Struthio camelus: one gene and its partner. The protein of the gene in region 2 binds, or shares a complex with, the protein of the main gene of each other region. Links are inferred from orthologs where the notes say so. Each region holds a gene or a part of one and is shown on either strand. Other genes may lie near its edges. The genes, in order: THOC7 and THOC1.

The links.
Region 1: the proteins of THOC1 (region 2) and THOC7 are in contact, whole or in part, in a cryo-EM structure (PDB 7APK), measured with the Homo sapiens proteins. The link is inferred for Struthio camelus from reciprocal best matches to the Homo sapiens genes THOC1 and THOC7. Residues at the interface, in NP_005122.2 of Homo sapiens: Leu10, Arg14, Glu46, Gln53, Arg56, Glu60, Ile63, Ile64, Asp99, Asp102, Cys103, Leu104, Pro105, Arg146, Gln151; in NP_079351.2 of Homo sapiens: Tyr47, Gln51, Leu54, Ser55, Ser58, Gln59, Phe62, Gly65, Lys66, Leu69, Val70, Met73, Arg76, Glu77, Asn80, Ile84, Ile88.

Annotation. Positions count from the first base shown.
Region 1 is NC_090955.1:12,527,491-12,531,398, forward strand, and holds the start of THOC7 (THO complex subunit 7 homolog), read right to left. Parts: upstream 2,352-3,908; 5' UTR 2,182-2,351; coding exon 2,163-2,181; intron 1,519-2,162; coding exon 1,401-1,518; intron 636-1,400; coding exon 508-635; intron 179-507; coding exon 92-178; intron 1-91. UniProt on the Homo sapiens protein: Component of the THO subcomplex of the TREX complex which is thought to couple mRNA transcription, processing and nuclear export, and which specifically associates with spliced mRNA and not with unspliced pre-mRNA.
Region 2 is NC_090943.1:120,105,856-120,109,763, reverse strand, and holds the start of THOC1 (THO complex subunit 1), read right to left. Parts: upstream 2,291-3,908; 5' UTR 2,091-2,290; coding exon 1,998-2,090; intron 1-1,997. UniProt on the Homo sapiens protein: Component of the THO subcomplex of the TREX complex which is thought to couple mRNA transcription, processing and nuclear export, and which specifically associates with spliced mRNA and not with unspliced pre-mRNA.

The DNA of each region.
Region 1 (3,908 bases), on a different chromosome or scaffold from region 2:
GAGATTTGGAAACTATTTTCTAATACAATATATTTTAAAAGGTAACAAAATAAGCAAACTGCTCAGTGAAAATACAGATATTGCTCCTTACCCTGGCGATTTTTTCGAATCCTTTTTGCTTGCAGGATTTGCTTTTTGCATTCAGAAATCTTCTCGTGTGCTGCAGCTATACTATTTTCTTTAATAAAAAGAATACAGAATTATACTGAAATCAAACAATACATGTCAACAAACCAATCTGCTGCACTACAAAAAGGCAAAGAGCCATTTGTGACATGGTGGCTTCTTAGCTCCATCAGCTTCAAAATTACACATACTTCAATGGGTTTAAAAAAAACTTTACTTGCATGTATTTTAGATACTGACAAGATGCTTAGAGCTTTTGTATCAGTGTTATCTTAAAAAAAATAAATCTTTCATCATATTCATATATTAGTTTCACCAGCACTGGCTCAAGCTTCCTCACACTAGAGAAATAGTCCAACAGAAAACAGTAATATCTGTTACCTATATCTTTGTAGATTTTTTCATAATTCTCCATTTCTCGCAGGTTCATATCATACACGAGAAGAGTTTTTCCCATTGAAAATTCACACTGTGATAAAGTACTCAGCATTCGTTGGTACTGGCTGTAACTGAAAGCAGACAAGATAGTTATTCCTAAGCAGCATAAAACAGTCACCTACCTTTATAAAGCAAGAAGCCAAAGCCTGCATGAGTAATTTAAGCAACAGTTAAATAACAGCAATTATTAAACAAATAAAATTCCAAAGACTCAATGTATAATTTTTGAAAGTGCAGTTAGAAACACTGCACCAACTAGTTCTATCACCATGCCCTTAAAGGTGCAAAGTGAGTATTAAAGCTATGGGCAGATTGATCCAGGGATTATAAACTTCCCAACTGGGGCAGGCTCTGCGCTCACCGAGATTAGTATTTTAATACTGTAGCACTCCTCTGTATATACGGCGACTTCCTGGAATTTATATCCAACAGTAGCAGAGACCTCACAATACAATACTACACTGTTGGTCAACTTTTACAACTCTGACCTGTTTTAAAAAGAAAAAAATGCAGCAGAAGACTAACGTTATTGTCCTTACCTAACAGGACAAACGCAGAACTGCCAGCTAAAACATTCAAGTCATGATCCTGTTACAGCACCGGGACTCTTGGGCCCGGATCACGAAGCAGCACTGGCGCTCAGTCATTTCTGAGCCGTCTCCTGCCCTGATGCTCGCTGTTTGTGCTGGGAGCACCGCAGAGCCACACTGACACGCACGGGTGCACATCTTAACAGAAGCGACTCCCCCCTCCACACACCCCCCCAAAACCCCAAGTTTATTCCAATTTCCATTTAAATGTACGCTGTTATTTCCCAAGACTGAAAACAGAAATACCCTTCCTCCTGGGATCCGGAGTTGCACCATTTAATGAAACTCTTCACCAGGAGGTTGATCCGCCTGTCATCACCCGCGCCATCGCCGTCGATGAGGAGCCGCTTACGGATCACTTCGTCTGGGGCGGGAAAAGGGGCCGTTTTTAACCGCCGGGCGGGAGGGCGGCGGGGTCCCGGCAGCCGGGGCCGGGCCTGCCTCCTGCCGCTGAACCAGGGCCGTCCGGGCGCTTTTCATTTACAAAGCGGGTGTTTTTGAGCGGGGGGGGGGGACGGAGCGGGGGCACATGGCGGGACAACGCCGCGGGTGGGCGAGCGCGGAGGGCCCGAGGCCGCCGTGAGGGGCCGGGAGCGGCGAGAGGGGCCGGGGGGCGGCGTGAGGGGCGCCACGATGGAGGGCCCGAGGCCGCCGTGAGGGGCCGGGAGCGGCGAGAGGGGCCGGGGCCGCCGTGAGGGGCCGGGGGGCGGCGTGAGGGGCGCCAGGATGGAGGGCCCGAGGCCGTCGTGAGGGGCCGGGAGCGGCGAGAGGGCCCGAGGCCACCGTGAGGGGCCGGGGGGCGGCGTGAGGGGCCGGGAGCGGCGAGAGGGCCGGGGGGCGGCGAGAGAACGAGGGCCGCGGGCCCGGGGATGGTGGCCGGTGCCGGCAGAGCGGCTCCCGCGCCTGGGGAGCGGCGCGGCGCGGCGGGCCCGGCCCCGGCCGAGGCGGCGCGGGGAGCGGGCCGGGGGACGGCGGGCAGCGGGCGGGCGGGAGGGAGGGAGGTCTCACCGTCGGTCACGGCCCCCATGGCGGCGAGCGGCGGAGCCGGCGGGGCGGCGGCAGCAGCGAGTGAGGTCAGCTTCCCACAATGCAGCCGGCGAGAGCGGCGGCCATGGAGGGGGAGGCGGCGGCGGCGGCGGCTGGGGCCTGAGCCGGCTGGCGGCGGACGCGCGGCCCGGCGGCGGCGGCGGAGGCGGCGGCGGCGGCGGCGGGGAGGGCCGGCGGGCGAGGCTCGCGCCCCGCGCGGAACCGGCCCCCTGGCGAGGGGCGGCCCCGCCAGGTGAGGGGCCGACGGGGGAGGGCAGCGGAGGTCCCCGCGCTCGCAGCCAGGCTCCTCCTCCCCGCCACCGCGCCCCCGGCCCCGCCGCCGCCGCCGCCCCCCGCCCGGCCCGGCCCGCCATGCCCGCGGCACATGCTCGCCCTCGCCCTCGAGGCGGCCCCGGCGGCGGCCACCCTCGCCTCGCCCGGCCTCGCCGCCCCGTCGGCCCCCGGCCCTGCTGCTCTGCTGCTGCCGCCGCTCCCCCGGGCTGGCGGCTCCCGCCCGGCCTCGGCCCCTCGAGGGCGGCGCTGGGCAGGGGGGCAGCCGTCGTGCCCGGCCTTGGACCGTTGAGGGCGTCACTGGGGAGGGGGGCAGCCGCCGTGCCCGGCCTCGGCCCCTCGAGGGCGGCGCTGGGGACGGGGGCAGCCGTCGTGCCCGGCCTTGGACCGTTGAGGGCGTCACTGGGGAGGGGGGCAGCCGCCGTGCCCGGCCTCGGCCCCTCGAGGGCGGCGCTGGGGAGGGGGGCAGCCGTCGTGCCCGGCCTTGGACCGTTGAGGGCGTCACTGGGGAGGGGGGCAGCCGTCGTGCCCGGCCTTGGACCGTTGAGGGCGTCACTGGGGAGGGGGACAGCCGCCGTGCCCGGCCTTGGACCGTTGAGGGCGTCACTGGGCAGGGGGACGGTGGGTATGCCCAGCCTTGGCCTCTCGAGGGTGGCCCTGGAGACAGGGACGGTGGCTGTGCCCGGCCTCGGCCTCTCCAGGGTGGCGTTGGGGAAGGGGACAGCAGGGATGGGGACAGCAACAGCTGGCAGCAGCCTGGTGCTTCCAGCAGAGCGGAGGCAGCATGTGGGGGCTGCGGCTCAGTGCTGGCCCCGTGCCGCGGTGGCTGTCCCACGCTGCGGCCACAGAGGCTAGGCCCTGGCAAAAACGACCGTCCTAATTGCCTTATTGGGGAGTTAGGCTATTAACAGCCCATAGTAGTAAGAGTTATTTCTTCCTTCCCTGAAAAATTAACCAAAACTGGCACTGGAAAAAAGGGATAGGGGTGTCTGGAGAAAAGAGATACTAAGGTGTTATTGGTATCAAGTGTTGAGTTTTAGCTTTTTGAACCGCAGGCTTTGACACCTAGGCAGTGCTGAAGTTGGCAACATTACTGTAACATATGTCATACTATAGTCATGATACGTGAGACGTCTGCACACCGTGGTACTCCCCCTTCGTTTTGGCTTGGACGCTAAGTAGTTTATTGACTTGTTCTGCTCCAAACATTTATTTTCCTGTCTCGGTCAGTGCTTTGTTTTGACAGTTTTAGGGATGTTTGGAAAATCAGTGTAGGAAAAGGACAAAGTCTGTGCACGCTATAATCTGTAGTTTGCTGGTTTAAGGCTGTGAGCCATCACAAGGTTCTTTTTGTTCTGGATAGTGGCATTTAACAGGTATTTACATACTGCTAGGTTGTTTGAAGCCAGTACTTTGTCTTCAGTAGTGACAACTGTC
Region 2 (3,908 bases):
AAATATAAAGGAGCATGCTATTATGGCTGATGCTGCACCTAGAACAGTTGAAAGGTCCATACACAAACTTTCACCTGCCAGACAGGCAACTCATGGTGGTTTAAAAACATTACTTCTGTTAGCAAGCTGGTCTAAAAATTCCCTGTAATGAAATCAATATAACGGAATAACTGCCTGTGCCTCAACTATTTCTGTACAAATCTCAACACCTTACTTTGAAAGTCCAATAAATTGCACCACCACTTGAGTACACATCCAGCTCAGTCTGCTCTAGTAAGGAAAAAGCATCATTCAGTCGAGGCGCAAAGGAGATAAGGGCGACAAGCTGTGGCATGTTTTACTGCAAACGTTGAGTTACATCAGATTTTGATTTAATTTTAAATTAATTTTAGCTAACTAAACCACGGATACTATTCTCATTTTAGCTCACCTAGTTAGGCTAAACTGGTACGAAAACTCCTGCCCAAAAATTTATACCACTGAGTTTAGCACTCATTACATGAAAACACAGTTTCCTCTTCAGAAAGATATCCCAGCTATAACGGGTTGCTACAGTACTTAGAACACAGCTGAAGTTTTGCCACAGGCCTACCGTGCCTAACACATGCTCTACTGGACTTAAGCATCATTCAGCTGCATCTGTTATAAACATTCGAATTTTTGTTCTGCTGTTAGCTGCTGCTGTGCAGACTTTTTGCAGATAGAGGATTCTTCTGTATGAAACTGATATTGATAAAAAACCTGGATATGCAACTAGGACAAGGTGAACTGAAACTAGGAGACTTTTACTGTCATATCATGCATAACCTGACAAGGCCTATCATGCATTAGCATGATAGCATAAACACAGGTTAATGGGAGTTAATGCTCACAAAGAACAGCACTAAGACGGTAAACTCACTCAAGAACAGGAAAGGGAAGAACCATCTGTCAAGATCCCCTCTCCCCCACCAGAGAGAACACAGCACTGGGCCACTGATTTGTTCAGTCTTAGTGAATCAGCAATCGGGTGCGGTAGGCAATGGTGTGAGGTATCAACTTGTATGTTACGTTATACAAAAGCATAGCAAAACTTAAGTTCATTAATATAGATTTCTAATGTCCTTTCTTCTGCCCTTTACATTTGTCTTGACCTCATAAAACTAGCACTCTTGTTGTCATAACATTACTACGTGCCTTTATAACACTGTGAATGCAGTGAAAGTTTTCTCTCTCTCTCCAGCTAGTCAAGTTTATCTCTTTGCATCAAAGACCAAAGAAGTAAAGTTTGTACACTTTCCTCCAACTTCCTTCATGCCAGCAAAAAAAAAAAATTGGCATACACGTCAAGTCAAACTCTCCCCTGCACTCCATTCAGGTCCATTCATGCAGAAGGGAGGGCAGGTGAGTTCAGCCTTCAACGTGGTACTTTCCTCCATCCAGCTGCACACCTGAGCCCCGAGCATCCGTTTAACCTGCCGCTGTCTCACTGCTGCTCCCCCTTTCCTCAACCCCTGTTCACTTGGGAAACCCAAACGAGCCCAGAAAACTCGCTGGGCACAGCCTCCCTTCTCCTCCCACGCTCATGACTCTACACTGGGACGCTGGGCAGCGCTGAGAGGCTCCTGGAGGGACTGCCAGACCCTTGGGAGACAGGAGGGAGCGTGGCGCGCGCCCCAGCGGGCCGTTGGAGGCGGGTAACGGCCGGCCGAGGGAGCGCGGCGGGCTCGGCGCGCGCCCCAGCGGGCCGTTGGAGGCGGGTAACGGCCGGCCGAGGGAGCGCGCGGGGCGACTGGCGGAGAAGGCGCGCGCCGCCTGCACACAGCCCGGCAAAGGCGGTGCGGTGCGGTGCGCGCGCCGAGGCGGAAAGAGAGGGGGAGGGGCGGCGCGCCGAGGCCGAGCGGCTACACCGTCGCGAAGCGGCCGGCCCTACCGCCCGGCCGGGCTCGGACCCGCTCCCGGATGGCGGGAGAAGGGGCGAGAAGCTCCGGCCGAGCCCGCGCCGCCGCCGCGCTCACCGTGAACCGGAGCCGAGCTTCGGGCAGGCTGAAGAGCGGCGGCGACATCGTCCCGGCCGTCCGACGCTCCCCGGCGCGCGCTGATGACGCCATCGTCCCCTTCCCCCCCCCAGCCGGCGAGAACCACGGCGAAGCCCCCGCTCCCGCCCACTCGTGACAGGGGTGGGGGGGCTGCCCGTGGTGGCGAGGCCGCGGGCGCCCGTGGGCGGTGCCGGCAGGTCACCCTCGCCTCACGCCTGACTTTAGCGTCATGAGGGTCCTGGCGTGGGCCGGCCGTGGGGGGGGGCGTGGCCGTGGGGGGCTGGCTTTGCTGTCGGGTGGGGCGGTGGGTTACGTCCCCTATGTGACTCGGCGCTTTTTTAAAAAGCATGCAGTCAAAGAATAGTTATGCAAAGAAGGAGAACGTTTCTGATAACCTGTATCACTCCAGAGTCAACACTTTCATCTGGTGAATGAGTCATTTCTGAGCGATCTCTATCTGGGTGAAAATAACCCTTACGTCTTCTGAGGAAGATACATGAATTTTAGGTTATTCGTTCTTCATTCTGAGGTGAAAAACAATTTAGGAACTTCCCCCCCCCAACACAAACTCTTCCTTTGTTGCTTCGTTTGAGTAATTAGGATCTCAAAGGAAGCGGAAAATATTATTGCACAAATTGGCATTATGATCATCATTAAGCATGCAAAATTAACATGGCCTGTAACAGTTTGTCACGTTATCCCAAAAGTTCTGCCACTTTATGCTGAAGGAAGCTGAAAATACCTGTTTCTGTACCTATTCGATCTATAAATGGACCTTAGTTGAGTATTCCTTCTGTCTTTTCCAGTGCTGGTGGGATCCTTAGAGCCCCGTGTAGCACTTGTAAGGAAGCTACTGGGTTTTGCAATCTGCCTGACATGTGAACAAGAGGGCAGTGAGTTGGTGTGTCTCCCACCATGCACTCCTGGGCCACATCCCATTTCAGCAGCATGTCAAGCTTCGCAGAGGCTGAATGTGTTACTGAACATCCCGTTAGTAGGATGTTGTCAAAATAAAAACAACTGTAAAAGGTTAACGTGCAGGGAAGGGGGTTTTCAGGTAATGAAGTTGTGTTACTTTTTCTAATAATGACATCAGAGTCACAATCTACCGTCACGTTCAAAGTATCGTTGAAGGAAGAGTAACATTAAATATAACTCAGAATTTTTTATGTCATTGGTAAAATTGCCTCAATGATAACTCATAGGTTGAACAATATTCTCCAGCTACATTTTTGAGAATCACTTTTAATGGGAGTTTACTGAGTGTTTCATAGGTAAATGTCTGAAATAGCCCTGCACAAATTAATAAATATTTATTTCGACATGTATCTTTTTCAGTGTGGCTCAATGCCTTTAAGTACTTTACATTTTCTAGCTATCCTAAGTAATGGTAGTTCCCAAGCTTGGCTGTTCACAATCCATTTCCAGGCTTGGGATCCCTCTCCCATTTGCATTTCCAGGCTCACAACTACTAGTTGGGAAACCTTGTTATGTGATATGCAGCCATAAAACCCTCCCAAATGTACTCCTATCTATCCTTTCTTAGGATGCCCAGGTGCACTTCAAAGCTAACTGGAGATACGGTTTTCTCCCATCACTTCTTGATCCTGCATTCTCTTCTGCTGGCAAAGCAGAAGCATCTGACTCCCCTTCCTGACAGAAAAAAACTTTGCTCGTACCAGTGCTGAAATTCCAAAAACAATCACTGTTATTAAATACCCAGATATTTGGCTGAGCCCACCAGCCCATCCTGGTGATAAATTTCAAGGTATGTGGCTAGCACTAAATAAACCAGTCTAAGTCTGTCTAGGCTGTCACAGTGTAGGCAAAATGCCTGCATTCCTGGATGTATGGCTACCCTTATATTTAAAGTCCTCAATACAGTGAATG